Bombyx mori: one gene and its partner. The protein of the gene in region 1 purifies or fractionates together with the protein of each later gene. This does not show direct contact. Links are inferred from orthologs where the notes say so. Each region holds a gene or a part of one and is shown on either strand. Other genes may lie near its edges.

What was found.
Region 2: the proteins of cyclin-dependent kinase 20 (region 1) and peptidyl-prolyl cis-trans isomerase FKBP8 purify together in Homo sapiens (affinity purification with mass spectrometry; 5 studies listed by BioGRID and IntAct, with this or other methods). This does not show direct contact. The link is inferred for Bombyx mori from reciprocal best matches to the Homo sapiens genes CDK20 and FKBP8.

Annotation. Positions count from the first base shown.
Region 1 is NC_085131.1:6,626,635-6,643,305, reverse strand, and holds the start of cyclin-dependent kinase 20, read right to left. Parts: upstream 9,794-16,671; 5' UTR 9,648-9,793; coding exon 9,450-9,647; intron 8,736-9,449; coding exon 8,547-8,735; intron 8,418-8,546; coding exon 8,296-8,417; intron 7,868-8,295; coding exon 7,753-7,867; intron 2,676-7,752; exon of another isoform or gene 1,665-2,675; intron 1,383-1,664; exon of another isoform or gene 809-1,382; intron 33-808; coding exon 1-32. Other genes in the region: Ugt2 (uridine diphosphate glucosyltransferase precursor), read left to right, coding at 10,782-11,609, 12,499-12,721, 12,909-13,128, 13,203-13,509; JNK1/MAPK8-associated membrane protein, read left to right, coding at 14,672-14,904, 15,269-15,478, 16,464-16,633. UniProt on the Homo sapiens protein: Required for high-level Shh responses in the developing neural tube.
Region 2 is NC_085125.1:9,568,406-9,584,940, reverse strand, and holds peptidyl-prolyl cis-trans isomerase FKBP8, read right to left. Parts: upstream 9,972-16,535; 5' UTR 9,788-9,971; intron 9,644-9,787; coding exon 9,452-9,643; intron 9,042-9,451; coding exon 8,898-9,041; intron 7,864-8,897; coding exon 7,601-7,863; intron 6,258-7,600; coding exon 6,011-6,257; intron 5,830-6,010; coding exon 5,539-5,829; intron 4,415-5,538; coding exon 4,328-4,414; 3' UTR 4,295-4,327; exon of another isoform or gene 3,332-4,294; 3' UTR 2,188-3,331; downstream 1-2,187. Other genes in the region: GPI ethanolamine phosphate transferase 2, read left to right, coding at 1,329-1,587; cyclin dependent kinase 5, read left to right, coding at 13,059-13,716, 15,128-15,366. UniProt on the Homo sapiens protein: Constitutively inactive PPiase, which becomes active when bound to calmodulin and calcium. Seems to act as a chaperone for BCL2, targets it to the mitochondria and modulates its phosphorylation state.

The DNA of each region.
Region 1 (16,671 bases):
ACAATTGCTAGTTGTTCAATGTCCGATTCTCCCTAAAACAAATAAAAAGTATTAGGTACCCAACATTGAAAAATATTGAAGAATATTGGTATATTCCTGAAATGGGAATTGAGTGCGGAAACCCCTTTGCGTGTGGCGCCGCGTGTTTGTACCATCCATGGAGTTAATAAGTACCTACAACTGGAGTGCTGTCTGATGCCGAGAAATCGGTCTCGAAAGAGAATACTTTTTGGTCGCGGTGTCCTTGTCTAATGTGGTGACCATATAAAATTTATTTATAGGATAAAATTATACACATGCATCAGTTTTGAATTTACCTTAAGTAATTCTGTGTAACCCTATGTAAATACAAAACACGTGCTTGCAACGTTTTATTTATGTAAATTCAATTCTAAACATTGCTTCGTCGTCATGGTGCCTTTTTTCGACGTTTTTTTTTGGAAGTTGCTGCGTTGTCGAAAATCTAGCACTGAGTTTTATTACAAACATCATTACCTCAGTGCTATTACTTAAACTTCCTCAAACTCATGTTTAACGTCCGAATACTCAACCGCGACTTAAATATTATGTTGAACTTAATTACGCAATTCCTACTTTAGTGTACTGGCTAAGTGGGCCGTGCAAATTAATATTTGACACACTGAGTGAGACACTGCAACACACATGGTCTGCGCGTATCGGGTGCTCTTTTCCTACATTCACATCTTCAATTGATTTAAAATTACTTGTATTTTTACTTCTGTGCTATTATCATGACACGTGTATATTAAGTCTACTAGTTACATTTTAGGAAATAAAACACAATGGGTAATAAAATGAAATGAACTGAAATTCATTTATTTGTTATATGTAAACAATTAAATAACTCTTAAATGACAAGTCAATACACATAACACAATACACATAGTACTTGATCTCTATTTACAAAATATTGGTTATATTATTATTATTAAGTTCAGTAAATTTTCTGTAATCTTATAATATAACATTTCCTCTATTTATTTTTAAGTAAATTCTTTTTTTTCAACGAAATACATTATTTATTTTAATCAATATCTAAGTGGACCATGAGTATCATTAAAATTTCGCAATTTAAATTTCAATTCAATTAAAAATCGCCATTTTTCTTTAATAAATCTAAAATCGACTTTATATTTACAATCACTATTTCACGACTTTTAAGTTTTTGTTTCAATACCTTAACATCTTGTCGTAATTTTGCTTTTCTCGGGGTATTTTTTATTTCTTGCGTTTGAGTACTTGATTCTTCTTGTTTGACCTTTTTAAAGGACATTTTCCAGAAATTCCAAAGTCATATTTACTAGAAGATCCTCCTCGTTCGCTTAACGTCAGGCAAATGATATACATGCTTGCGTGCGACGCTATTCAATACAATAAAAAAAGTTCAAGAAATACCACGTGATGGCTCTTATAATATGAAAAATACATTGCAAAATTATAGTTTTCACGATTGTTTTTTCAAATTTAGTATATGACATAGATTAAGTACAATTTACAAGACAAATGGTATTAAATATTATAATGAGACAAAATATCTCACATTTTAAAAATATATGCTCACACTAGTAAAAATTTATCAATGAATCTGACATATGGAAGGATATTCCACAAACTGGAGAGGATTCTCGCTTAAAACCACTTACATTAAAAGTGTTCACCATGATTACACGGAAACTTTCACGATTTTCGAAAAAAAACAAGCCACAAGCTGTATCAGTGCCATTTTAACTTCGCACTACAAACGTAAATAGACGCCATTTTTCTTTTAATCCATTCATAGCTCTTTTTCGGTGATGCCAACAATTAATCTGGCTTCCCACCAAATTCAACATGAAAACCATCAGAAATCTACGTACCTACCATTAAATTTTCCATTAAACAGAGTTCTTATTAATATAGAACAATAATTTTTTTGTTAATAAGTTTTATTAATATATGATGTTCTATTAAAAATCAATATATATCATATAATCAATACTTCTTATATAATTTATTTTAATAAATTGTCATCATCCGAAACTAATTTCACCATAACTTTGTACGTTTATTTTGAACCAATTTAATTTTTGACGTTGATGGAAATTCTAAATTCTCGCAACATTTTCTAGTTAAGTTTAAGTCACATCGTTTAAATAATATGTATTTAGATATATTATTGTCATAAAATGTTTAAAATCCTGTAAAGTGGATTGATTTTAACTTTTTCGATAATTTTCAACAACGCCCAAGCTACTAAAAAATCCACTAACCACTAAAAGCCATTTTTGATAACTAAGACGGGGGTCCAAATTCCGAGATTTTATGGAAAATCCGCTAAGCTAGCAACACTGCTTTTTGTTTGTAAAATGTGCGAGAGGGACACCACCACTTAATAATCATTCTCTTTTCAGACCGTTTTTCCTTACATCTTTTGCTATTTAAAAATAAACTTTAAGCCATAGACATAAAGTATATTTTTAGTTTTTATGTCAAACGAAGTAAGCACTCCAGTTAGAATAGTAACTCTATGGTACCATCTAATCCTTTAAAAGCTTTACCACGAAGCCAGATAATTAGATACTTATGGATTGTCAATGTCAGGAACAGCATAGTCGGTGGCTAATGCCAGGCCTTATCGATATTTACCGCAAAAATAAAAAAAATGATTCGGATTAATTTATTTGACATCAGAATAAATTACTTACCTACAACTTCTACATAGTGTAAAGGAAAATCAATCAAAGTAATCTTTAAAATGTTGAGTATATTTTAGGATCTGTGCACTACTCTGTGGCTATATAATAATATGTTAGTCTATAATTTAGTTTAGTTAGTCTATAATGTATTATTACAATATGTATCTATGTCACTTCACTTCCCTTCCGCTCTGCTAATAAAATGGTGCCCGTACTTTTGTGTAATAATTTGCCAAGAGAAATCCAATACGCTTCCACTGCGCAACGACCGCCACTTGGAGTTTAAAAGAATTAATTTAACGAAGAAGAAATATAATAGTAACAATAAAAGCGAAAAGTCGAGAGGAAGACAAAAAATTACTCGGTACTAAAATGGCGGACGACGCTTCAAGAAAATTACTTCCAGAGTTTACTGGAACTAATTTCAGCACGTGGATATTTCGAATATCATGCATCCTAGAGGAAAAGGAATGCAAAGAAGCAATTGAAGATGGCATAACAGAGGAAATATTGAAGTCAGAAAAATTCAAAAAGAAAGACGCAAAAGCTAGAAGTTTGATAGTCAACTGCCTCTCAGACAAACACTTGGAATACGTCAGAAGCGCTACGAGTGCAAAAGAGATGATCGAAAACTTACGAAAAATATTCAAAAGAAAAAGTACGTTATCTGCGTTATACGTCAGGAAGAAATTATTAACCTTAAAATGTGACCCCAGTGTCGAACTGAGCGACCACTTCAACAATTTTGATATGTTAATAAGACAATTAGAAGAAACTGGAAGCACTGTAAATGAACAAGACAAGGTGTGCCACTTACTACTGACTATGCCTGACAGCTACAATACTACAATTGCCGCCTTAGAAACTACTAATGTGGAACTCACAACAGAGTATGTCAAAAGCAAATTGTTAGATGCAGAACTAAAAAACCAAAATAATTCAATGGAATCACAGGATGCACACAGCTTCCTCAGTTGCTTTAAATGTGGTAAAACTGGTCACAAAGCTATACAGTGCAGAACTGGACACTTAATGAGAGGACAGCATCGAGGCAAAATGGGCAACGTCGGATATTTCAACGGAAGTTACACTAGAGACTTCTATCGAGGCAACGGCAGAGACTTCAATCCAGGTAACGGCAGAGGCTTTAACCGAAGCAATCCCAGAGGCAACGTGAGAGGACAATCGAGGGGATCATCAAGGGACACCATACTCCAACAAGGAAAAAGTGCTTTAAGTGAGAGAAATCCATTTTCTTTTGTTGCCAGTGAAAAGGTACTATCTGTTGATGTGTATAATGAGGACATTAAGTTTATTATTGATTCAGGAGCATCTCAAAATTTAGTCATTGATAGTTATGAAAAGTACATGTCAAACATTGAATATTTAGAAACTAAAACTAAGATTTATGTTGCTAATGGTCAATATTTGTTTTCAAGTAAAAAAGGGATTTTAAATGTAAAATATAATAACTTACCTATTAAAATAGAAGCACTACTTGTCAAGGGGCTATCCCACAACTTATTATCTGTTAAAAAATTATTAGAGAAAGGAAATTCTGTCAGATTTCATAAAAATTCTGTATCAATTGCTAAAGGAAATAACATAATTTATGGTACCATGCTTAATAGTCTGTATGCAATCAATCTAACATTAAACTTAGAAAAATGTTATTCGATAAATAATGATAAAGATCTATGGCACAAAAGGTTAGGACATGCTAATAGAAAACACTTAAAATTATTGAAATTACCTATCTCAGAAAAACCATGTGGAATATGTGTAGAAGGAAAATCAACAAGATTACCATTCTCTACAACACCCAAGCCGAGATCAAAGTATATAGGAGAACTCATACACACAGATATATCAGGACCAATAAATATTCCTACACTTACAAATGAGGTATATTTTCATACAATTATAGATGATTACACACATTTCTGTGAGGTATACTTATTACAAAGAAAAAGTGAGGCAACCGATAGGCTCATAGAATATGTTAATAGAATGGAAAGACAAATAGAATGTAAAGTCAAGAAAATCAGAAGTGATAATGGTGGTGAGTTTAAAAATGAAAAACTAAATAAATTTTGCAAAGATAAGGGAATTGTTCAACAGTTTACTTTGCCTTATAGCCCACAATCAAACGGAGTTTCAGAACGCATGAACAGAAATATTTATAACAGAGCTCGGACTTTATTAATTGAATCTGGTTTACCAAAAACCTTATGGGGTGAAGCGGTGCGATGTGCTGTCTATCAAACCAACAGATGTCCATCGTCTGCTATCAACTTTCAAACTCCAGCAGAGAAAATGTTTGGAAACAAAGACTTAACAAGACTTAGGATATTTGGATCAAAATCATGGGTTCATATCATACCAAAACAAGATAAACTTTTACAAAGAGCTAAAGAAATGAGACTCGTAGGATATAGCCCAAATGGATATCGTCTATGGGACCCTACAAGTAATAAAGTGATAGTGTCAAGAGATGTCAGAATTGATGAAACTCAATTAAACTACAAGGAAACTGAAGAAAAGCATAACATAAAAGGAGAAACATACTATGAAGATGAATTAATACAAAATGAAGATACTGAGAAGGACACAAAAGATGACCAAGAGATAAGAATACTTAATGAGAATGATGAAAACATGCAACATGATAGAATACCTGATAAAACAAATAAAGAAGTATCAAAGAATAATCAAGATGATGAAGAAGAAAATGAAAAATTGAATAAAAAAGGTAGAATAAATATACAGAAATATATAACAAGATCAGGAAGAGAAATTCGCAAACCAAAAAACTTAGAAGAATATGATCTAAATATAGCATACTGTCTTTTATCGGGAGATCCACAAGAATTTGAAGATGCAATTCATGACAAAGACTGGGAAAAAGCAATAAAGACAGAATTAAATTCACAAGTGAAATTAGAGACATGGGAAGAAGCTACATTACCAATGGGAAGTAAAGCAATAGACACAAAATGGGTATTCAGAACTAAACAAAATGGAACCAAGAGAGCTCGATTAGTAGCGAAAGGTTTTCAGCAACAGAACAATGATAATCATTATGCTCCGGTAGCCAAATTGTCAACTATCAGATTAATGATGAGTTTAGCAGTTCAACTGGATTTGTCATTAAAGCAATTGGACGTACCAACAGCCTTCTTAAATGGAAAATTAAATGACAATGTCTATATAAAATGTCCCAAAGGAATGGAAATTAGTGAAGGAAAAGTTTTAAAACTTAAAAGGGCTTTGTATGGATTAAAAGAAGCACCTAAATGCTGGAATCAAAGATTTAATAATTTTGTCATTCAGAAAGGGTTTGTACAATCACAGCATGATTTATGTCTATATGGAAAAGGAAAAATCTGGATATTACTCTATGTGGATGATATTTTATACCTTGGAAATAGCAATGAGATGATAAAGGAATTAGAAAAGGAATTTAAAGTAAAAAACTTAGGAGAAGTACATCAATATTTAGGATTGGAAGTAACAAGAACAGAAGACAGCTTGGAAATAAGACAAACAGAAATAATTAAAAGACTCCTGGAGAAATATCACATGCAAGATTGCAAATCAAGCAAGACTCCAATGGAAATTAATTTTAATGTAAACATTCCATCACCATCAGATATAATTGAAGTACCCTTCAAGGAATTAATAGGATCTTTGTTGTACATTGCTGTGAATAGTCGACCGGATATTGCTTATGCTGTATCATTCTTAAGCAGATTCTTAGATAAACCCACACAAGAATTATGGACAGCAAGTAAGAGAGTGTTACGTTATCTTAAAGGAACCTCGCATCAGGGACTGATTTATAGGAAGACCGAAGAGTACACAAAACTTATAGCCTACTCAGACGCTGACTGGGCAGCAGATAGAACAGACCGTAAGAGCACAAGTGGCTGTGCTATATATCAAGGCCAGAACTTAATAACTTGGTTCTCTAGAAAGCAAACATGTACCGCCCTGTCAACAGCTGAAGCTGAGTATGTGGCTGGAGCACACTCAATGAGTGAACTTATTCACATCAAAGGATACATACATACTTTCTGACATATTAAGTACTAGTATCATTTCAGCTCATTTATTGATTGACAATCAGAGTACAATAAAATTGATACAAAATCAGATGAATACTAAAGCTTCTAAACATATTGAAATAAAATATCACTACATTAAAGATTTAATTTATAAGAAAATAGTGTCAATCTCATATGTGCCTACAAATGAAAATATCTCTGATATATTTACAAAATCTTTAACTATTCAAAAACATAATTATTTTTGTAGCAAGTTGAATTTAGTTTAAATATTGTATTAGAAAAGCTATGCATATGTTATACATATTTAATTGTTTAGCATTATTATTATCTTAAGAGAATTAATTAGATAACTGTTAATTTAGTAAATATTTTAATGTAACTAATATTGAAAGAAAAAGAAAAAAGGTATTTATGATAAATAGTGTTAGTAATGCACAGAGTGGACAGTTAACAAAATTTGTAATTCATTAAACTTGTATTTTGTTTGAACAATTTTAGCAGTTGTAAACTTCTATAAATTGAGGGGGTGTGTTGAGTATATTTTAGGATCTGTGCACTACTCTGTGGCTATATAATAATATGTTAGTCTATAATTTAGTTTAGTTAGTCTATAATGTATTATTACAATATGTATCTATGTCACTTCACTTCCCTTCCGCTCTGCTAATAAAATGGTGCCCGTACTTTTGTGTAATAATTTGCCAAGAGAAATCCAATATAAAATTGGTTTTGTATTTTCTGAGATCAGTTCATAAATAATAAACAAAAAGCAAATATAAAATTTCTAAATTTCTTTGGATTAGTAATTATTAATTTCGATGATTTTTATTAGGTATTAAAGTTCTTGATATTTAGACGCTGTTGCAGCCGCCATGATAACGTGTAGACTAAAAATCCTATTAAAATCCCCTTTGATAATAGTGATTATAACATCGATAATAATTGTTTTAATGAAATACTAAAAATACGAATACTAGATTACTCACAGCAAATAGTGGTTTCTTTGTAATCATTTCGGCAATTATGCATCCAACTGACCACAGGTCTATTTTTTCAGAGTAATAGCGTGCTCCATACAACAATTCCGGAGCACGATACCACCTGTAATTTAGTGAAGTTTAAAGTAAAGTTATATACGAAGGTATGGAATTCTCAGTCCATAAACAATGCCAACGATACGATTTTATAATTTGAAAATTCACTAAACGATGCGGAGGCCGACCAAGAGGGCTGGTGGTCGTGGCGCCGACCACCGCCGGTCCGGCGTCCCGAGGGGGAAGGTGATGGGAGAGATGTGCTCCGCACTAAGCGCTTCACTTTCTCCCCTTTTCCTTTCATGAGTTCTGTCTCATGCGAGGTTTCGATGCTGGTTGTTGAGCAACAGGAGGTTTTAGTCGGTTCAACTCCGACATGCCCCGCCCTCCATCCCCAGGGGAGGGCGGAAGTCCGGTGATTTCCTCCTGACAAAAAAAAACGATGCGGACGTGGCTTCTTTGATTGTTTAATTAAATAATATAGTGCGTATTAACCTTGTGGCCACTTGATGTGAATAGGGCCTACCACCCTCAGGCCAGTATAGTCGCGCTAATCCTAGATCTGCTATTTTCAATATTCCCTCATGATTTATTAACAGGTTTGCTGGTTTCAGATCCTTAAACACAATAAAAGCTATACATTTTTACGAATATCTTTGAAATTATATTTTGAATTAACATTTAAATGAATAATTGAAATGCTCTGGATTATTCTAGAAAGTACTAATTATAATGATATACTATACCCTATGCATGACGTAATGAGCATGCATGTAACGCATTCCCTTTAATAACATTTCTGCATAAGTTTTGACTCTAGCTATTGTCAGTTCATGCTCGCATTGGTGCAACATTTCCCATAATCCGGAGTACATATATTCTAGCACGAGAACAAGACTCATGCCGCGCGGGAACATATCGTATAGTTTAATAATCTGAAATTAGAAAAAAGATAAATCAATCACTGTGCAGTTTTGTTACGGTGTTATTTTTTCGAACTGTGAAATGGCAATCCTTTCTGTTTAAAAATCACACCAAACGCCGCCTTAACTGTGGGATCTGTCTACTTGGATAAAGCGGCACGACACGAGAATCCTCTCATCGTGGCCGCCGGTAACTACATGCCCGATCCTGCGGACAGAATGGAAAGCAGTTGACCTCGCCCCAAACACGTCATTTCGGATCCTCCCGATCCACTAACGGTGCTTTTAGGTACCTCAAGCACTGGTCATCGTTCTCGTCGAACCCGTCGCTTGCGACGAAAGGCTCTACGAGTAAATTAACCCTCAGACACAGCCCACTGAGTTTCTCGCTGGATCTTCTCAGTGGGTCGCGTTTCCGATCCGGTGGTAGATTCTGCGAAGCACGGCTCTTGCTAGGGTTCGTGTTAGCAACGTCATCAGGTTTGAACCCCGTGAGCTCACCTACTAGTTAAAGCGACGCTGATATAGCCTCTCAGGGCTATCAACTTAGGTAGGAAAAAAAAGGGATCTGTATCGTTTTCATATATTTACTTTAAATAAAATACAATACAATTTCCTGCAATTAGATAAGTAATTTGAGCTTTTTGACGGTCTTTTTTTTGTAACGGTATTTTTTAGGACGAAAGGATTGGATTTAAATTACAGTGAATTTAAACAAGTACTGACGTATTTACATCTTAGTAGTTGTAAAGCCTTGATCTCTCTCATGACATGGACCGGTATTCCATCTTCAAGATTCTTTATCAGAATTTTCTTTAAGGCCACCTCGCGACCTGTTGTGTTGTGTTTGGCTTTGAAAACAAGCCCGTGGGCTCCTTCACCGATTCGACCAACGACTGTATAATTATTAACATCATAATCCATCTTAGAAACTATGGAATCTAATATAACATTAAAACAGATTATAATCCCTAAGTTTTATCTACAAAACTTTAATATTACAATAACATATTTTATAATCAACACAGTATTGTTGGCGACTGGTTGCTATGACGATTAAGGAACGTTCACATGTGCACTAGAAAAATATGCTAATAAATTTTTTTAGAAAAATTGAGTAGCTCTGAAACGCTGGATTTATCTACATTTCTTTAAATTTTTTTATGTGCCATTTTTGCATCTCTAACCGACTGAATTAAAAAAAAATTACTCATGTACGCGGTAGTCCGAGCCACTAAGTTTAACTCCACGTTTGAGCTCGTAAAAACATAAATATTGCAAATAAAAACAAGAAGAAAAGTGTTTTGTCATAATTGAATATGATCGAATTGCATCGTAAATGCCGTGTCGTAGTTGTTTATACTCGTTGTTCCACTTAAGCTACTAAAAAACAGTAAAGAAAATTGTCGACGTTGCAAATTCTATGTTACGAAGGTAGGTACTTCCAACGAAGCATCTCGTTTCGCAAGACTATGGACTATCTAAAACAGCGTACGTTCAGCGCTTTAAAATGCTGTAGCACTGTCTGATACCAAAAAATATGTTCTCCTCCCATTTGAGTGCATGATTTGTTATCTGGCCCAAATCACAACGGTTAATTTAGCACATACTAGGATTCCCTTTACTATAGGAACCACAGACTGCTAAAATACCTTTAAATAAATTAGTACAATGTAGAATAAAATATTCAGGCCAAAAAGCATAATTTAAGTTAATGAGCAATAAGCCTCTCAGACACACGAATGTGTAGCCGATGTGTGAATCGAACCCACGAATATTGGCTCAGCAGTCAGGTACAACTACTACCAAGTCAGAAGAAAATAATTACAACTCATTATAATGAATGTTTGTCTATATGCACGTATTCTAGCCAAGTTCTACCATAACATTTTTATATTACAATGAATCGGTTCTAAATTGAGCATGTTTGTACAGATGTGAAATTTTCTTTTATTGCTCATAATACCTACTGCGTGCCCTCCTCATAAACTTATATCATTTTGAATTCCACGTCAGTCACAACTAGTCACTTTTGGTGTAGTGTCCGTTTTCTCCACAATGTGGTTAAAGTTTTTCTACTTCTTTAGTTTAGTTTTATGTCCGTGTTATGCGGCTCAAGGCGCTTCGATATTAGCAGTCTTCTCTTCACTTTCCTATTCAGATCATCTGGTTTTTCGGGGCTATGTGTCTCTCCTCGCTCAAAGAGGACATTCCGTTGTGGTCATGACTCCTTATCCAGGCGAGTTTCAATATCCGGAGGTAGAAAACATAATCGAGCTAGATGTTAGTCAAGAATCAGCACCGTTTTGGGAGGAGTACAAAAGGCTGATGACCAATACGGACGATTACTATCCGCGGCTTAAAGCACTGAACGAGCTCTCACTAAAAATTGCCATAGCGCAGCTGAAGTCCAAGCAAATGACGGCGCTGCTCATTAATCCTAATGTAAAATTCGACTTGGTAATAACTGAAGCAGATGTACCATTACTTTACGCTTTAGCTGACAAATACCAGACTCCACATATAACGATAAGTACATTTAATGGAAAAATTCACCAGTACGAAGCTAAAGGCAATCCCATTCACCCTATTTTGTATCCCGACGTGAACTCACTGAACTACGGTAATTTGACTCGTTGGCAGAAAATTATCGAATTCTACAGACACATACAAACGAAAACAGAGTTTTACAACAACTATTTGCCGTTATGCGATGTTGCCGCCAAAAAGATACTAGGATTGAAAAGAGATTTACAAGAAGTTGAATATGACATCGATATGTTGTTCATTGCCAGTAATCCGCTGTTAATCGGGAATAGACCGGTTGTACCTGCCATACAATTTGTGGATCGGATGCATATTAAACCAAGGATGAGTCTTCCGCAGGTATTTATTTTTATATATTACAACGTTATGTTTTAGGTTATGTTCGGTGTTATGATGGCGGTCTCTCTCGGTAACCGGATTCGGAGTGGCTGGAGAAATCGAGGCCGTGCGAAGCTCATTAGGCTTAAAATAAAGAACCACGGTTTTGCCTCTGAATCTGATCTAGAGGGGTATCCCCAAACATCAGCAGTGCCGCCACGTGGAGACGTTTTCGATAACGATTCCGTCAGTCTGGCGCTCTTGCGGTGGCTGCTGGTTGAGGTATTGACTGCGGCCACTTCTCTTACCTGTCTCGGAAGGGTTGTTGACTGATGGTTCATGCTCGGACGATCTGTATGGGAGAGTCAGTTAGTTGATCACTTACATCACCCGATTTCGTCTAACGGACTTCCATCTGCATAACCACATTTTCGACGAGGGAGGGTGCTACATAAATCGAGTGCCCTAGGCACACCCCTTATATATATTCAGCCGCAGGCACATAAAAGGGTATGTTGTGGGCAAGAACCCGCAGAACAAGAAGAAGTAGAAGGGAGAAGCAGTTATCAATTTCCGTTAGATCTCGTATCTCATGTGTTAGATGATATGGTTTCTAGGTGGTGATGACTTTGGACTCAGGTCACAAAATGGTTCTTTGCTAACTCTGTCGAAAATGGTTTCTCTGACAAAAATATATGCTTAAACAGATTGCTTTATAAGATTAGGCAGCCTATTGCTTATATTTTATATGCATAAAGTTTTATTGTTATAAGACTTTACTGTTCATTATTTGTGATGTTCATAACATATGGATTTTAATTAAGAGATAGTATTCTATAGCTACAGATCATTAACGCTGCAGAAATATTTTTATGTAAGTAATGAATGTACTTGCAAAATTTTGTTTTAGAATTTACAATCATTGTTAGACTCTCAAACGAAGGGAGTAATTTACTTTAGCTTGGGAACTCTACAAGAGGCGGAGAAATTATCTGTTAAAACACTTCAAGTTTTCGCGGATGCTTTTAGAGAATTACCTTTCACAGTTTTGTGGAAGATTGGTAAAATGAGCACGTTAAAGCTATCTGATAACGTTATCACAGACGTATGGTTTCCGCAACAACAATTATTGGGTAATTATTATTTTTTGCAGATTTTATTTAGGTACTGGTAATGAGACAATATTAAGATAATTAATGAATTTTAACTTTTTTTTTCGATATTCATTTATTTTAAGTAGTGACATTTTTATGCCATTAATACTCCAAAATCCAAATAATTATTTGAAACTTTTAAATAGATTTTTTTCTCTATTTACAGCACACAAAAACGTAAGGGCATTTATAACTCACGGCGGACCTAGATCTTTGGAAGAAGCACTATTTTATGAAGTACCAATCATAGGTTTTCCTCTTATCACATCTAGAAAGATATTTATAAGAGAGCTTACCAAGTACGGCGCTGGTGAAATCTTGGACCCCTTACACATTGACAAACAAACATTGAAACAGGTCATATCCACAGTGGCCACTGATGAAAAGTAAGTATGAAATTGAAATAAGTTTTAATTCGGAAACTTGGTATCTACTTACTGACTTCTTTTAAAATTTTCAGGTACAAAAAAGCGATAATTAAGCTTAAAGGTATGGTTGTCGATCCGTTGATTTCGGGTCCCGACAACGCTGTCTGGTGGACTGAATACGTTCTTCGTAACCGCGGCGCACAACATCTACGTTCACCAGTTGTTGGCGTTACCTTCATCAAATATTACATGTTGGACATTCTTACTTATATACTTGCAGTCGTTCTATTTCTGCTATATTTAACTTTTCTTGTGCTGAAATGTATTTACAGACGTTTACGAGCACGATTTGTGCTGAGAACTGGTCAAGGACCAGAAGGAAAATTCAAGGCTTTGTAAATCGAATTAAAATGTTTATTTAGTATCGATAATATTAAACATATTTTGTGAAATTTGTTTTTAATTACACCAGTAGTACTTGTGTTCTACGGTACAAACCTTAACATTGAGATACCTATAAGTTTGAGGATCGAATAAAATTGGTTTTCTACACGTTTCATACCCTTCGTACCGGAATATCTACCGGAGTGGTTTATCTCAGAACCAAAAAGGGTGACATTTTTTATAGGCAAATAAATAATAATTAATATTGCTGAGCTTCAGTTAGGAACTTCATGTATTAAAAACCAACAAAAGATGGATATTAGGGGGTGTATGCCACCGCTCATCTGGAAACATGATTCGATTGAATGAATTGACTGATTGTGCCCGGACAGAGTTCAGTACTGAGAGCCCATAGACAATACAAGTGAAAGCCGCCACTCGCCTGGAGATACGAGGTTGATTTATTAAATTGTAAAACATGTGTCCCACTCATTAAGTCAGGATGCATGACGACAGAAATAGACACGATAGTAGGCACAAATATTAAGTGTATAACCTATGGTAGGTACTTAATCTTAAAAACTTTATAAGCTTAAAAATGGTTTCTTTAAGAGATTTTATGACCTGGTAACTAAAACCTTTAGGTCAAGTCTTTTTTTAATGCTAGCAATGGTAACATCCATTTTGGGGATGTGGAATTGTATTTATAAATTTTCAAAGAGTAAAATTTTTTTTAAAGGCTTTGAATTATAAAATTTATTAAAACTTTGAATTAAATAAATTGCTAGCGTGGTAGCCTCTTCCGACGAAAACCAATATTTCCTATTCTAAGCCACATGCCACCTCTATTCAATTTGGTACCGTACATAGAATGTGTTGCTATTTCTTTGCATACCACAGTGCAAAAAAATAAGAAAAACATGACATTGACATTGACTACTATGTATGTACAGATATCAGCAATTTAAAACTTTTAAAAGCTTGGGAATTAAAAGAATTATAAAATTTATATTAATATTTCACACAGGTACGCTGTCTAACATATGATTCTGATATTATGACGAAGTAATAATTCTGAAAAAAAGATTCTGAGACTAATATAAATAGTAATATCACTTAGACAATACAACAGTAAATACAATCTATACAGCTCAGCTGTAGATTGTTCCATTACAGAATGGCAGCTGTAAGATCGTGTCCAGGACTGTATTGTGGTCGTATTGAACTCGAAGATGGGTCGTGGAGTGACTGTGGGGCGTGTCCGCGAGGTTTCAGGACAAACGCATCAAGTTACTGCATGCCGTGCGTTGATGAACCCTCTCTATATGACTGGCAGTACCTTGGCTTTATGGTCCTCCTGCCCATGGTTTTGCATTGGTTTTTCATTGACATGGTCACCAGGGGTAAAGCGTGAGTATTTCATACTTAAAGAAAACAATTCATAATATTAGTTCCATCTTTACATAAATTTCAAACTCGATTATTACTATCCTAGTAGCCAATCTCAGGCTCACTATTTACAAGGCTCATGAAACTATAAGCAGAATGAAATTGGAATACGGACACAGTCACATTGTGCTTACCTATTTATTATGAGGGATAAGATTTCGAAAAAGTAAATCATAATATTTAAATCTAAGGTAGTTTTCCATTTTCACTGAATCACCTGTCTCGTCTCATCAACAATTTTGTTAGCTCTACAAGAAAGTTTGATAATACAGAACTAAAAATATTTTGAGATTCTTGACTTATGTATTTTAAATTAACATTTCAGCGAGAATGGCGTTATCATACAACACATGTGTGCCTTTTTGGAGGTCATATCAGGAACACTTGCCGCATTGTTAGTGCTGCCTCCGCCTGGGTCAGTCTCACTATATATGTGTTCACCAAAAGCACTTTCGGATTGGTATACACTGTTGCATAATCCACAGCCAGATTATAAAGAGATGTTGCATTGTACTCAGGAAGCAGTGTATCCTTTGTAAGTATTAAATTTTTCTTATTAGTAATTTAGTAATTTCTTTTATTGCCCTTGTAGGCTGATGAGCATATAGTCTACCTGATGATGAGTGATTACCGTTGTTCATGGACGCTAGCAATGCCAGGGGTAGAGCCAAAATCACTCTATGATGCAACTTGTAATGTAAGTAGAAAAATTAACAAATTTGAAATTTTGATATTGTTTAGTCAATAAAACTTTCAGCTTATCTCATAGATGAAAAAAATTGAATTTTTCATTTGAATGTAAGTCCTAAAAAATTTCAGAGTAGTAAGCCAATTTATTTAACCATCATGTAATCATTTATAAGTTTAACTTCTATTAGATGTTCCCTCACTTTGCCAAAGCACTATAGCACGAATAAACTTATTAAAGTGTGGTGATTTGGGGACTGTGATTATTTTGACTGGCAGTCATTTGGTCTGACACATTTGGATTACTTGGTATATGTTAGCAATATTGCGTTATTAATCTACTTCTTAATTTAATTGTCAATTACTTGCTGTCATCCTTATCTGTCCATCATTAAACTTATAAATTAATTTGTGAGTTGATTATCAATATCAAAATTGAGTAAAATAAGGTGGGATTGTCACATGTTGTATTTTTATTAATAACTAGCGACCCGCCCTCGCTTCGCTTCGGAAACATTAAAACACACATGAAACCAAAAAAATAAAATAAAAAAAAATTAAAAAAAGTAGCCTATGTTCATCAGGGACGATGTCGGCTTCTAATGGAAAAAGAATTTTTCAAATCGGTCCAGTAGTTTCGGAGCCTATTCGAAACAAACAAACAAACAAATCTTTCCTCTTTATAATATTAGTATAGATTACCATTTCTGTTGCTAAAACTTGTTTATTTCTTTGTCGTGGATTTTGTGTCATTTCCTTCACTTCCTGTTGTGCAAATTTAATTGCCATACAAGATTTTGAAATTAAAAGATATAATTTTTTTTTTTTTTCAGATATACAATAGTTTTTCTGATTTATGCATTCAGCTTATTAATGACCATAACATTAAGACCATGGTTACTGGCCTGGAATGCACCCAATTCTGGTAAAAAGGCAATATATTGTGCTTTATATTTTCATCCTATACTTGTATTGATTCATACTGTTGCTGCCGGTTTAATTTGTGAGTACACATTTTCTTAATGCATCATTTAGAAGTCT
Region 2 (16,535 bases), on another chromosome or scaffold:
GTCAAAGGGGAATGCCCATTTTAGGCCCAAAGCGGACAATAGATTATAGAAAAAATACTTAGTGACTTAGTGCATTAATTTTGTCATAAATAAATATGCATTTACTTCCTTCCAAATGAGCGCCACTACAGTTTACAATAAGTACTTTAAAAAAAGTAGCTCTATTGAAAAAACAAGGATTTTGATTTTTGCGGGGAAAATATTGCCAGCTTCAAAACCTTTTACGTTTGAAGTAAATATTTTGAGTATATAAATAAATCATTTTAAGTATTAACATTAATCAATAGATTTTAATGGATTTTATGCACATAAAATAACATCGAAGACATACCCATTGGACTTTAACTTGTAACTATACTTGAGACCTTAGAACTTATATCTCAAGGTGGGTGGCGCATTTATGTTGTAGGTGTATGTGGGCTCGAGGAACCACTTAGCAACACCAGGGTGTCTGTGAGCTCGTCCACCCATCTAAGCAATAAAAAAAACTTTACTAGTATTGTTATTTAAATATGTACAACTAAAACAAAAACATAAAAAATAATGTGTACTCGTAAAAAAAAGATTAAGATATAAATAAATTATCGGTTATTTAAAAAAATAATCGATATATGAATTTCATGTAATTATTTTTCTTAATACTGACAACACTGAATTTAATCTGACCGACTGACACTTCGCTTGCTGCTTGAGGTGTTGTGCTTGCGTACAAAATGGTTGTGTTTTGATTTTTCTTCGATTTATTTCACTTTTATCATTAACGTTTCATACTACGACTAAAAAACATTGTGTGAATTGTGGTTTTACCCTGATCGAGATTTAAAACCGTGTATATGCTCTCCTTTGCTATTTTTAGATAATTTACTAATTGTGTATGAAGATGAAGAAAATATAGATATTTAAAGAATTAAGTGGGTTTTTTTATACCGTATTGGATAAAAATACATTAGGAACATCTTAAACATTAAGAAAAGAAAAGTTCTTGAAGTATCTCACAATCCGACACTTATTTATATAGAAAATTAACTTCAAAACGAGTTTCTATTTTTATTATATTTTTTATAATAGTGGCGTTAATTTAAATATATTTTTTAGATATCCAATACATTTAAGAATTTGAATCAGTACATTTTTATAGTAATATTCGATGTCCATCTTGGGCCTAGCACACTATGGAGAGTGGGCATTCCCCTTTCGAATACTGAGGGACCACTAGTTATAAAAAGGTGAAACTTAAACCGTAAAAGTAGTTAAAACTCCAAGTCGTGAACTCCACATAAATGTCACAGCAATTCATCACAAATTTAACATTTTAAAATTTCTTACAGGTACTTAAAATCAATATGGCGGGCTACAAACATATTGGCGCTCCACAGAGTATACGCTGTCGTCTTATATACAGTGATAGCGACAATATTTCGACACCATTTATTTGTGTGGTCTGTCTTCTCTCCTAAACTATTATACGATTTCGTTGCAACAGTCTTTGGTGTACAGGCGTTAGCTACCATAGGTTATATTATTTTTTTAACGCATGTTACGAGTTGGCTGGCTAGAGTACTAATCACTAGATCAGGACTGAGGTAAGTATTAACAAAGCAGAAAAGTGTAATATAATAAAGTTGAAAATGATATGATTGTTTTATGAATTTGTATATTTTTTACAAGGATGGTTTGGCTGAATTTTTTTTTTTTTTTTGTTAGTGGACATGCTCACAGCCCACCTGGTGTTAAGAGGTTTGTGGAGCCCATAGAAATATACAACGTAAATGCGCCACCCACCTTGAGATATAAGTTCTAAAGTCTCAAGTATAGTTACAGTGAATACACAGCTGTGGGTGAACATAGTTACGTACACATTAAACGTGACTAATAAAAATTAAATGATGCTGTGGTTAGGCGAAGGTTCTAACACTTGAGCTTAGTTCGTCGCCCGCATGGCGGAGCCACACGCGCAGGCGTTTTAAGCTGAAAGAAAGTACGTCAGTACATGTATGTAATTACTATCATAGATAATACACTTTTATAATATTACGGTTTTAAAACACAGGCAGCCATCGTTGATGTTAATTAGTCTAAGGAACTATGGAATCATAGATGACTGCATTCCTATAATATGTATAAATAGCAACATAAGTATGCGAAACCATAATTTTTGTATATGTATATTTTTAAATAAAACAAGTGTTTGATAAATTTCTTTATTCAGAACCTTTTTTTTTTTGAAGGATGAAAACTATTATTGTGATGCTTGATGATGTTTGCGAACAAGAAACATAGTATAAAAATATACATTATATATACATATTAGGGTTTAAACTGTGTTAAAACTCCCAAGACTGAGATTTTAAATGCAGCTCTTAGCGAAACGATTGAAGCGAAATAAAAATATAAAAAAAGTATTATCAAACATATTCCTTGAAAATACAATTGGAATGACTTTGTCTCTTATGTAGAAAATAGTCAAAAAATATATTTTTATACGTTTACAGTATCATTAATATTAATTATAAATAATCAAATAAATACATATGTACATGTTTGGCACCAGTCGTGAGTTCTGACACAAACACATACATTATACAGGCTGTTTAAAAGTTTAATGATGACTAGTGAATTTAAAACACAATTTTAAATCAAATTACAACAGATATTTTTGCCTTTACATTTTATGTTACCCTAAGGCTTTTCAATATTAAAAATCTCGAAAACGAAATATAATTATTAAAAAAAAAACTATATTATGGAAAATAATAATGTGCAATTGTAAATAGTTTTCTCAAAGCAGTATTCATTTACCTAAGCCTATACCCTTTTTACAATACAAACAAGAATAGAATTACCTAAGTGATACTAAAACTGCAACTTCTAAGGATATGGGACGAATAAAAATCACATGATATTCATATTATGTAACAGCTGAATTTTTTTTTTACATCTATTTCAAGTAATTTTCGATAATATGTACTTCTTATATTGATTAATGATTTAAATTTTTATAATATCAAGTATTATCAACATCAAACGTATGCATCCTAATATTGATTTATAATAAATTGATATTGAGCACATCAACAAGACTCCTTACTATTAGAACTGAAGTTAGCTATCTAAGTTGACAGCAAGTTCTACTTGAGTTTTGTTTAATTATATTGTTTATTATATAACAATGCCTAACTGTGATATTTATTAATACTAACACAACAGCGAATATTGAAGTCATATATCTTTTAGTAATCAAGTCAGTAGTATCAGCGTATTATGGTGTCCTTAAGTATAATGTGCACCTTCCACCGACTAATTCACTCCACACCAACAAAATCTCCATTAACTGGAAAATGGTAAATGTTTAGCATGAAATGTTTTTTTTAGTCATTGATAGTGTTCAAACTTGATTCACTTAAATGTTCCATTTTTGATACTGATCCTATTGAATATTTAAAAAAATTCAGAATTTTCCCAGTAACATGAATATTATTTTTTTCTCCTACCTACGCCGAAAGTTCGGTTTTCGTCCCGCTTTACAGGGAAGAAAGTGTAACTTTTTCTCCCTGGGTACAAGTGCGCATGCGCGTTAGTGTCTACGTCTGCTCTCACGCACCTAAAATTCTCCGCCATTGTTGTGCTCGGGTAATTTACAATATTGTGTTTAGTGTAAAAGTGAAATAAACAAAAGGCAATAAAATTTAATAGTGAAGTATTGAACAAAGATGAGTTCATCAGACAGTTCTTATTTAATTAGTAGTAGTACTATTTAAAAATAAAAAAACAGTGAAATTGGTTTTTTTTTATGAGTAAGGGGGGGCTCCGCCCCCCTGCCCCCACCTGGGCTTCACCCTTGGACCCCGGCTCGGTACTTCACGAACTTTCGGCCTGGTAGGAGAAAAAATAGTATGTGCACCGCGGGAGAAAAGTTGGACATTCCCTGCCACGTGTTTGCTATTTTACACGCGGGAGGCAATGTCCAACTTGTCTCCCTTGGTGCACAATGTACTATAGTTTACCAAAATTTTCATTTCCTGGTTAGAAAGAGTTTTTTTAAAATCCATAAACATAACACAGGTTAGTATCCTGATCGTTGTATTTAGGAAGTTTTAATACAGTATACCAGTAACACCAGCCAGATGGTCAGATCTAGTAAGAGAAGCACTTGGTAATAGTCTGGAACCATGCGATCCATGCCACCCATGACCGAACACTATGGAGGAAGGTCATATGTGGTCGAGATCCTCAGCAGTGAGGGAACAATATAGAATATAATACATTATGTACTGATAATAGGGTATTTACTTACATATGTTCTAAACATCGTAAAATGAACGTCGCGTCAGTGCGCCTGCATTTTATATCTGTATACGAGGACGCTGGCGACACCCACCAACAAGCTGAGCAGAAGCGAGCCCCACACTAGGATCTGCAGAATCATAAATAAAATTAAAAGCTAGTTTAGTGGTAGCTATCACAGAACACAAGTTATTGGACACTATGCCAGAATCTCATGACAATTTCAAGACAAGTTTTTTTTTATTGCTTTAGATGTGTGGACGAGCTCACAGCCCACTGGTGTTCAGTGGTTACTGGAGCCATCTACAACGTAAATGCGCCACCCACTTTGGGATATAAGTTCTAAGGTCTCAGTATAGTTACAAGAGTTGCCCCACCCTTCAAGCCGAAACGCATTACTGCTTCACGGCAGAAATAGTGCGCGGGGTGGTAGTACCTATCGATGCGAACTAGATATACTATATACATATCTATATATATAAAAATGAAACCCGTTTTCCGTTGTCACGACATAACATGAAAACGGCTTGACCGATTTGGCTAATTTTGGTCTTGAATTATTTGTGGAAGTCCAGAGAAGGTTTAAAATGTAGATAAATATGAAAGTGCTCGAAATTAAATAAAAATAACAATTTTGTTTTCCCTTTGATGTGTCCCCCATCAGACGGATTCCTTTTGTTTGTTTTAAGTTTATTTTATACAAAAGCTTAGGTCTTTTATTTATCGATTGAGGCACTACGAAGTCTGCCGGGTCAGCTAGTAGTATATAAACTTCGAAGAATTCCATTCGGACCGTCAATCTACCGAGCGATTTCACTGGCTAGGTGGAAGATCTTCCTTTTGCCGTTTCTTATGAATCTCTTAGTCGGTTTTACGACACCGACGGGAAAAAGTGTTTGCTGACACCTGTACGCTACATGAGGCCACAAACAGATAAATGCTCCAGAACATTTCTGGCTATAGAAAAATGATTGGTATATCATATTAAAGGCCCTCGCTATCCAAGACCTCAGCTTCAAAATACGATGATCAGAATAAACAGTCTCATTTTGAAATTCTCAAAATGCCCCTACTGACAAACTTCGTCAATGCAATTGAGGTCTGACAGCATCAGTGTACCATGCAGTAAGACCTCCATTTCAAAACGGGTAAATCTAAAGAGGGGAATGAGCCATAAAAAAATGTACTTGATGAAGTATAGCATTTTTTAAGATACACAAAAACACTTCAACATTAACACATTGCCAAACTAACCTTAGACCTGGAAGGTTTCTTATCGGGAGAGGGTGCATCGCTTTTCGCCGACACGTCAGTAGTGCCCAGCATACGTTTAGCCAGTTTCCTTTCCACAGAACGATCCCTAGAAGCTCTTTGTTCGCATCGTTGTAATTCTTTTTTAGCACCAGTATCCTCGGGGGCTGCGGCCGCCGCTGCTTTAGCTGCCTCCAGGGCTTCAGGGTTCCGTCCCATCGCAGATAGAATGCGTGATTTGCGATAAAGAGCTTTAGCGTTTTTCGGTTGACATGAAAGTACTCTGGTTACGGCCTAAAATATTTAATAAACGTATTTTTATGGCGAATCAACTTTTATATTTCAAACGAAAACAGTTCGTGTCTAATATATAGTAAATTTTTACTATTTTTAATCAAAATTTCGTTAAAATTTATTGCAATTTTGTATTAAATGAGTACCTTTGTACATTTTTTAAATCTGTCACACGGCGTACCTGTAAAGCAGCTTCATAAGCTCCGGCCTTGAGTTGAGCAGCAGCCATGTTGTTATGAACCCTGAGTCGTTCATCCAGCAACTCTTTCAGTGCCTGGTTAGCGAATGTGAGTTCCCCAGACGGCGTGGGATCAGTGATCCCTCCTTCGCTTTCGTCCAGAATGTCGAGAGCTCTCCGATATAGCTGCACCGCTAGTTGTGGTTCATCACGACCGTACCACCAGTTACCGCGGGCTCTACGACGAATTCTGAAATATTTTTTTAAACAAATTACAATGCGTTTGATACTTTGTTCTTTTTGTCCGGTTGGGTGATGGTATTAATATTATAGTGAGTATATAATAACATAGTACCAACAAATTGAATACGAACATACAAAACTCTCCATATTTCACAAGTAATCAGACTTAAGTAATTGAACTAATAAATAGCTATTAGTAAACTCTGTTTTCGGGCTCATAAGCTTATCTTTACAAGTAAAATGCAGGCAATTTTTTCATATTATATATTTTTTAAACATTTGCATATTTTTTTTGTTCTACATTGGTCATGACAATTTCACAAATTAGTCATGACTCATTAATTAGTGAAATAGATAATGGAATCCGTAGAAAATACAATAGGAATGTCGCCACTCAACATAAAACATGTGGATGGTGTTATATATACCCCAGCTCTAATAACCTGCCACGGATAAATAAGCATTTTTTTTACACAATTTTTATTTTTATTACACGATGTTCTATCTGCTTTTGATAAAGCTTAAAGGTTAATAAGTTTTTTGAAAAATCCTTGCAAGGCTTGAAATAAATATATATAGTTGCAAAATATTGCATCAATCTATATGAGTTGGACTGGCGTCTTACTGATTAAGACATGGCCAACTTCAATGCAATATGTTTTTAAATACCAACTTACCCTTAAAATAGCACCAAGTGAATATATTAAAGTTTTGTCCCAATTTAAATATTATTAATCAGTCAACATGTTTAACCAACTATTGCAACATTTGGTGGGACCTTGATAATATTATTCTGAGCTATATCAACATTATTCAAGGGCATTATGAAATCAACGTATTTGCTAATTTAGACTACAAAATTAACATAATTGAATATTTTAGGTATAAAATCATAATTAAAAAATATAAGTTAGAGGCCCATTGTGAGTCAGAAAGGGTAGTCAACACCATTTATGTCTGAATCATGGAACAATAAAAAGGCTGTTATACAATACTATTGACACTTCAATCCCATATCTCAAGGTGGGTGGTGGCATTCTGGTTTTAAAACTAAAGACCAGGTGAGCTAGGAGCTCATTAACCTATGCATTAGTAGTGCAGTGCCGTAGTATATATTTTAAATAATACACAAGCTTTATTCTGTGGATATTCTAATTATGAACTTAAAATCCAACAACTATTGTAATTCAACATAACTTTCATGAGTTTTTCTTTGCTTACGTATCCTACTGGTAAAATCATAATAGCAACATTAAATTGAAATATTTTTTTTTAGTTCTATTTTAGTTTAGCTATAAATTAAAAGTAGAAAATTATATTATAGTTGAAACAGAAACATAAATACATTACCCGATTTCCATTTTTTCCGCTATTGACAATACATCGTGTTCAGGTTCTTCTGACCAATCATGCAGCACTAATTTGGCTTCAAGCCATGTGTCTGGTCCAATAATAGGTCCTTTATACTTGGGTTCATCACACTGTCCGACTAATCCAAGGCTCTCACCTGGTTTAAGTCCCATTTCTCCATAGGCAAATCTTGGAGCAAGTTGCAAAATACATTCCTCACCTCTGTACATTAAAGTTAATGCTAGGTCCAAACCTTGCAATACCTAAAATATTAAATTTATTTAATGAAACAGTTTCAGTTGTTTTAGTTAAAATAATTTTACTCAATTATATAGAAGAGATATTATTTAGGAACAAAACTGCCCTAGATACTTTTCGTCTATAATTAGTTTATAGTTGCTGTAATGTTTATGGTTATTTTTTGTTGGTTTGCAATATGTATAGAGTGCAAGGGAACACATTCCTAAAAAGAAAGACAGTAGGTTAGTGGAACCTCTCAGAAGAAAACTGCAAAAATATGATTTAATTCTTAAATTCTCAAAATCAATAAATACATCCTATAAATACCCATAAATAATAATGATTATGAAACAATATAAATACATCTTACTAAAAAAAATATAAAGTTACAAAATCATTCATTTCTGAATAAAATTATATTTTTGAATATTTTTAACTGACATATAGATTTCAAATGCTATTCATCACTTTTGCAAAACTTTCATGCATTCATTTCTATAGTCTTAAATTTTATAAGATGCAAACAAAAATTATCTAATCAATATGGCCATCATATTACAGTATATAAAGTAATGCATATAAGTAAATCAAGGAAAAGATATCGCTCACAACAGATTTCTGATAAGAACAAATAATAGATCTTTAACACAAAAATATACCTAAATTTAAAACATTTTTAGTCTTTGCATCACCTACTTTACAAGATACTTTTTACTATAAACCCTCAAAGGCAGAAACTGATAAAATGTACTAAATATATTCATAATCCCAAAAATTATCATCAATATATTATCTGTGAATAATAAGAAACAAGAACTTCTGGAAATGACAAAGCTTCATATTAGCAGCCCTAAAGCTTTTTTTTAATCATCTTCACACAGATTATTCATAATTATTAAATTTGTTTTGGAATGTCTATCGCTAGTACATGGGTGATAAACCTCATCATCCAACCACAAAACCAAAATCAGTGTCAACATTAATGACTCTAGGATTATTTCAGTTCACTTCAAAAAACTTTATTAGATAATATATATTAGAATCAGTTTTAACTCACCTCATTGTCTCCTAAATATATTTTTATCTGATCTCTTTTCTCCACAATGTTGTTACTGTCTTTTATTTTGAGTTCATAGCTGATTCTGCATATGTCCCCTCTTTGTGGTCTGGATCCAGATATTTCATCCCCTTGTTTCAATATCTGCAAATGGGAGTTTCTTTTGCTTTGAAATGTAGCAAATGTTCCACAGTAGAATACTCTTGTAAGTTTTAGTCAATTGATGCAATTTCCGAGGTGATTTTACTACTTTATGCATTTGATTTTAACCATTAAACATTTTCTTCTTTTTATTAAGACTTTGGATACAAGTTTCCTTGTTTAATTTGGAATAAAAAATTAAAAGCGGAAAATATATTTGAAATATTTTAAATTTGCCTCATGTACAGTTATTTTTTTTTATATTAAAATTATGGGTTTTAGTTTTTTTTATCCCATTATAAAAACTTTTCGGTGAATAAATCGTTAAGTAATGAACGAAATTAAATTTTTATTTATTTAATCTATTGATTTAAAGAAGAAGTTTAGATTAATATTTTTAAACTTTAAGCAACCTTTTTAAGCAGAGCTCCGGACCCAAGAACATCTTGCCATTCGTCATTCTTTACTTCTGGGGATTTTTCCTTCTCTGCTGCGGCAGCTTCGGCAAGTTTCGCTTCCTCGATCTCCTCAGCAGCCGCAGCCGCTAAGTCTTCGAAAGAGCTGCTTTCAGACTTGTCCGTCAAAGCTTTGCTTTCTTCACTCATCTGTAAATAAAGCGTGGTGTTTGTTCGATCGTAAAGATAATACGTAGTTAATGTTTATCATTCAATCAACTATTTTCATGTTGAAAAACATCTTATCGACATCGCAACTTGAATTTATCAAGAGGACATTTATCTTACTCTTACCTTTAAAAGTTTCTAGAAAGCGAAAGTAACAGATAATATTTATATATTAACACACAACAAAACTAGGTAACAAGTAGGTACAAATAAATCAGAGAATATTTGACAGTATGACAATTCAAGTTTTTGGCTTTGATTCAGTGTGACCACTAGATATGTGTCGTTCGTTCAATTTTAGAGATTCAGATCAGTACCGGTAAAATGGGGCGATTAGGGATTGAAAGGCGAATCGGGAAAAAACCGGGAAAATCTTTCGACGCTCAATATAAGTTTTATATTCGTTGCAAAATCTTCCATTTTTTTGTAGTTTAATAGTAGAATGTTGAAAGTTCACAAAACAACTCTGAATATGCATGATAATAGCTGCTAACTTATAAAAAATCGCGTTTCAAATTAACTTCCTGTGGTGGTAATTATTTTAGTGCTAGAAACTTTGCTCTCTTTTATTTATTTGATAATAATAGAAGACGACTATGATTTATAAACGTTATTTAGTGTTTGAACCAGCATATATATTAAAGGTAAGTCTCAGTTGTTATTGGTTTTAATGTATTTGATTAAATAAAAATACATGTAAAAATCTGTTGTTCTTGGGGATATTGGGGACGTCTTAGGTACAAATAACAACGAAAAAGGGGTCAATTGGGATGAGAATACGTGAAATGGAAACGACCTAAGTATAAATAGGTACAGGTTTGTAGGGTTGTCTATGTAGTTATAACAATCTTTTTTAAATTTGTTGGTAAAAATCTGGTTTATCGAAGCGAAATTGGGAATAAGTCTTTAGTTGAAATAGATAAGCAATTTAATATAAGTAAGTCGATTTTGCAGAGACATGTAACAAGATCAATGAAATCTCAAGGTGACAAAAATGTTTCAGTAATACATAATAGAATATTTAATATTTGTTCAGAGTGGGGGTATTCATCTGATTAATCCATGGAATAACCGACACACCTAATCTCTTAACCCAGATAGAAATATCAGCCCCCTAAGTACTTACCAAGAACGGAGAAATATAAACCGTTTCTAAGAAAGCCCACTATATATGTGTAAATATATATATATATATATATATATATTTTGTTGTTACTGCACTGTCGATTGCACCTATAATTGAGGTGATGTCTGCCATGTACTTTTGTCAGTTTTTCAATTTTTTTTATTGATGATCACTTTGTTGGTGCAACTAAATAAATAAATAAATTAAAACTATATATAAAAATAAAAGTAGTGCCAACCCTAGCAAATTTCTCATTTCGTCCCAATTAACCGCAATTTTCGGGTAAATAGGGATTACACCTATTTTTGCATTTTTTGCTTAAACTGGAATGCTAGTTGCTTATTTTTAAATTAGACAACAAAGATGCCCCCAAGACTCAATCATTTTGATCCTGATATAGCATTATATACATCAACAACTACCTTAAAATTGCTCATAAAGTTGGAATTTGTCCCTAATCGCCCCATTTTACGGTACTGACCTGTTGACAAAATGATCCGGTTCGTACGACCCGTTCAGTCGAACGTTTGGGTTACCGTTTATTACATCAATTTATGACGTAAATAATATTATCAGGTTACTGGCTGGATAAAGTTTAGTATTGAATAACAGCTTAAAGGAACTGTTATAGTTCGATTGTTTACGTGAGATCAAAACAATCCAAATGCTTTATGCGACATTATGTGACAACGAACGACTGAGCGAGACGGGCGCGGGGCAATTTCATTTCATATATTTTTAATCCCTCAAAGACACCTTTTAATCTGGATTAGCGTTTGACTTGCCTTAAAGGTCTCTTTCCCAGGCCACAAAATCCAAATTCTTCCAAAAAGAAAAAGCATTAGACCTGCGCCTGTATGCTCTAATACTATGATTTCCTTGCACGTTTATAACACCGGTCACTCACATGCGCACGAATACGCAAACCCGCAAGTGTAGGACGACATTTGCAAATGATTATGCAAAGTTTTCGCTACATTCGTGGTTTTCCAAGCTGTGTCGGTTTTTTAACAGACATCAAAGCGCGCGAACCGCGAGCCTTCGCGTAGTCTCCCACACATTCGTTTGCCCAGTTGCGCCGACGATTACGAAGGTAACGGACGTATCGTCATTTTCATAGTTCGTGACGTCTACTGTGTAACGTATCTTCATCAAAAGAAATCCCATAAAAACAGCATGGCTGTTAATGATGTCTGGGAAAGAATTCAAAACTCTTTTTCTCTTCAATGTCTATTGACGAATTAAAAAGGAGGAGAAATTCGTGAGACATTCGTAAACAAGTGTAGGAGGAAGCGCAAACGGGTTCGCGAATTGACTACCGAACCCATTTGCACAGCTGCTAAGTTTGCGAATGAATGTTTGACGGCCCTTCACATGCATAATAATATGTAGATTTATAAGATAGTTGTATGTAGTGTTGGACGGTGAAATTTGAGGGGATTGGGTTCTGTAGGTTGATGAGGGGCTATTTAAAAACACTCTGCTTCATGGTTAATATAATTATATTGCAAACACTTTGTACACTATAACATTATTACAATGTTTTATTTTTTATAAAACTCTTAGATGTTGCTCTGACCGTGTCTAGATGAGAAGTCGTTGTCTTCACTGACGAGAACACAATTATTTATTTTAGACTTTTAAAATAATTCCAATATTCGAAACTGTAACCTTACATGTGTCAACTGTTGCCGGCCATTACTTTCATATTCAAACTCCAACATGTAGTATGTACTAATAAGACAGAGGACTTTTTAGCAGGAATGCGAGGAGTGAAGTTGTGTGAATTGTTTTATTCTGTATATTTAGTGTTTCTTCAGGTTTAAATGTGGTAGTGTGTGATTAATCGTGGCTTATTAACTGTTTAGTATCTGTAAAAGTACACAAATATGGGAAAATAAAACAAAGTCGCTGGACGTAGCTTCTCGGGATCTTCCAAAAAGTCCACAAAAAAGTCTCAGTAAACAATCAACTTTTTACTGAGATTATATTTCACCCCATACTATCTCATCTCATTTAATTTCATTTCATGTCAAGTGATTAACGTTCCAAATTAATCAAATTCATTTAATTTCACTTCATATTATCATTATTCAAAAAATATATATCAAAAGCGTAGGCTGTATAGTAAGATACCTGTGCCTGTCCGGTTGGAAAAATAGAACAACTACTCAAAAATCAGTCAGTCCATAGATTATACACTTAATATAAGTCAGTCTAAATTAAAAACAATCGATCGAACTAAAGTGAGTAAATCTGTAGTTCAAAAATATGCAAAAATATGAGAAACTTGAAAAAATCGGTGAAGGAACCTATGGTACGGTATTTAAAGCCAAGAATAAAGAAACACACGAAATCGTAGCGCTCAAACGTGTTAGATTAGACGACGACGATGAAGGAGTACCATCTTCCGCTCTTCGTGAAATATGTCTTCTCAAAGAATTAAAGCATAAAAATATAGTGCGACTTTACGATGTATTGCACAGCGAAAAGAAATTAACCCTAGTGTTTGAACATTGTGATCAAGACTTAAAAAAATACTTCGATAGTTTGAATGGAGAAATAGATCTAGATGTTGTGAAATCATTCATGTATCAATTACTTCGAGGACTAGCTTTTTGTCACAGCCACAACGTTCTCCATAGGGACTTGAAGCCACAGAATCTCTTAATAAACAAGAACGGTGAATTAAAGTTAGCTGATTTTGGTCTGGCCAGAGCTTTTGGCATACCAGTAAAGTGCTATTCCGCTGAAGTTGTAACCTTATGGTACCGGCCTCCTGATGTATTATTTGGTGCTAAGTTGTACACAACAAGCATTGATATGTGGTCTGCTGGATGTATATTTGCAGAACTTGCAAATTCGGGCAGACCGCTATTCCCAGGTTCAGATGTTGATGATCAATTAAAGAGGATTTTTAAGCTTTTAGGTGAGTTCATCATAATAAATCTCCAAAGTTTTATTACTCTATTCTGAATTTAGGAAGCCTAATTATGATTTTATATTGAAAACCACATAAGGGCTCTTGGTGACAATAAAAAGTCATATCACAAAACTGGTTTAGATCTTAAATTAAATTTGAATGGCCGAGTCTCTGAGCTTAATACCAACATTAACTGCATATAATTATGCAAAAGTAAGAACTATGATTATGTCTGATTGATGCCTTATTTAAAGGATCGGACAGATTATAACAATATGTAAAATAAATTTATTGAATTTTAACTCTCCCAACAAACTAGAGAGTAGGCTTACAATATACCATATCACCATTGCTACTTTATTCTGTTGGGGGCTTAGTAAACAGCTGTCTGATAATTCCACACATACTATTTTCTAGTCAACCCCCTATTAGATTGCAGATTCTGCATAAAAAAGTTAGAAACAATCTATGGGTTGGCATAAAGATTACCGGCCTGACAAAAGTTGTTAGCCTAGTCCTCCAAGTACAAAATAATATAAGAATGTTAATCCCAACACTCACGGTCGAACAATGTCATTAAGTAGGAATAGTGTTTCCTTTCCTATAACTTATTGTAATTGATGAACACTTCGGCATTTAAATAATAAATCATTTTTTTTACTAAAATAGTCAATCATGACATCATGTACCATATTAAACTAAAAAATACATATTATACCATTAAAGTTTGAACATGTGAGTCGTCTATTATCAAAGGTGGCAATCTGTACATTTGGACAAATTTTTTTTATTGATATGTCAATACAGATTTATTTGAATATAATCGTCTCCTTCAAAGAATACGGTTCAAAACCTGCATTAAATAAAGGTTAATAGTTAACCTGTTATTTATCTAAGATGTCGTTCCGAAGAGTTTTGTGACTGCCAATGGAATACAAAGTCAATAATTCGTTTTTCTGATTTACCAATCATTGTCAAAAAGTCAGATTGCCGCCTTTGATAATAGTCGACTCATGTTTCAAATTTTGTGTTGTTATTTAATTTTTTTGCTGAGTCATATTGCAGACCCCTTCTATATATATATCATAAATACTTTAATTAGCAAATGAATATAATTTTCTGCCATCATAAGATTTCTTCTTCTGCATTTCAGAAACTTACGGTAAACATAGTATTTATAAAAATGCCTACAGAGTGTACTGAAGTGTTACAAAATAATAGTTAACTTTTACATATTTTTAGTAAAAATATATAGATTTGTCTAGGAAAATTACATCAAAGCTCTTGCATTGTAAATATTGTGCCATTTGCAAAGACTTATTCATTGACATACAAATAGGAAGTGTGTCACTGGTATTGTATGGGTGTATTAATCTGTCAGTTATCCTTTTTCAATCAAACTATGTTTACTTATCAGGTACACCCAATGAGGACACATGGCCTGGAGTAACTCAACTGCCGGACTACAAACCTTTGCCTGTTTATCAGCCAAGTTTAGGCCTCGCCCAAGTTGTACCAAGATTGCCGGCTAGAGGTCGAGATCTACTCGCTCGGCTGCTCACCTGCAATCCAGCTTTAAGAATGCCAGCTGATGATGCAATGGCGCATGCGTATTTCCACGATCTCAATCCGTCAGTCAAGAATGATCGATGTTAACAATCAATCCATCCGTACAAATGTACGTCAGAACTTATTTATTGTGAAAAGAACTATGATGAAATAGAAGAGTGTTGTGAGGATGAGACTTAATTAGATTTTAAGAAAAGTACTGCCAAATACTGTATTTTTACCAAGTAATTTTAAATACCATAATATTGGGAATTGTTATGTTTCAAATTATATTGATAAGGTTCCAGTATTTGGCTACTAGTGATATTTTTAATCGATTTTATAATTATTACTGAAATGTCCTAAATTAAAATGAAGTTAACTTTATGAACAAATGGTTTACAAATGGACTTTAATAATGTGTAATATGAAAGATGAAATGATGAATTAAAAAGTAAAAACATATAAATATTAAGTATAATATTGATGCGTAAAACATAAATGCACTTTGAAACAAAACAAAATTGATTGTTAAAATGAAACTTATTTATATTTAGCAATGAAAATGTAGAGTCAGATAGCTGACTACATATTTAAAAAACTCACTTTACAAAATTGTAAATGTGCATTCACATTATTAGCAACTGACTCCACTCAAAGTGCATTTAAGTTATGTGCATGCTATATTAGTTATATAAGTAACTATTAATTAATTATAAATTTTACTACAAACAGTAATAGAAATCTGATTGTAAACAATACAATCCAATCTACATACTCAACTGTGGCACAGTAGCATGATCAAATCAATCTAGTTGCTACTGTACCGTCGGGCGCATACTCGATTCCCTGACAAAGACAGTCTTTGTTTAAGATTTTGTTATCGGGGTATTGTTTTTGCTCTGGCCTCGTATGTATCCATAATGCAGAAAAAATTCTAGATTTAAAAATTTCGTGTGAACAACTCGTCTTGACTTATTCTGCGGTCGAGAAAGATGTTTAACTTTACAAAAACTTGGAATTAAATAGCTAAAGGGGAATTTAATGATACTGATACTAAAACATTTTTTTAAAAATAATTTATTGTATTTTCATGTTCTAATGGAAAAAACCTAGAAACTATAGTAGAATTATTTTGTCGGTGCAGTTTGGGTCATAAAACATAGCCCTGGTAGGGCGGTGAGCATGTTGCGCGGGCGCAACGCCATTATCGATAAAAACAAATAAGTCATCGAAGGCAGATACACGGCGGCGGGGTGGTATACGAAGGGTGGTGA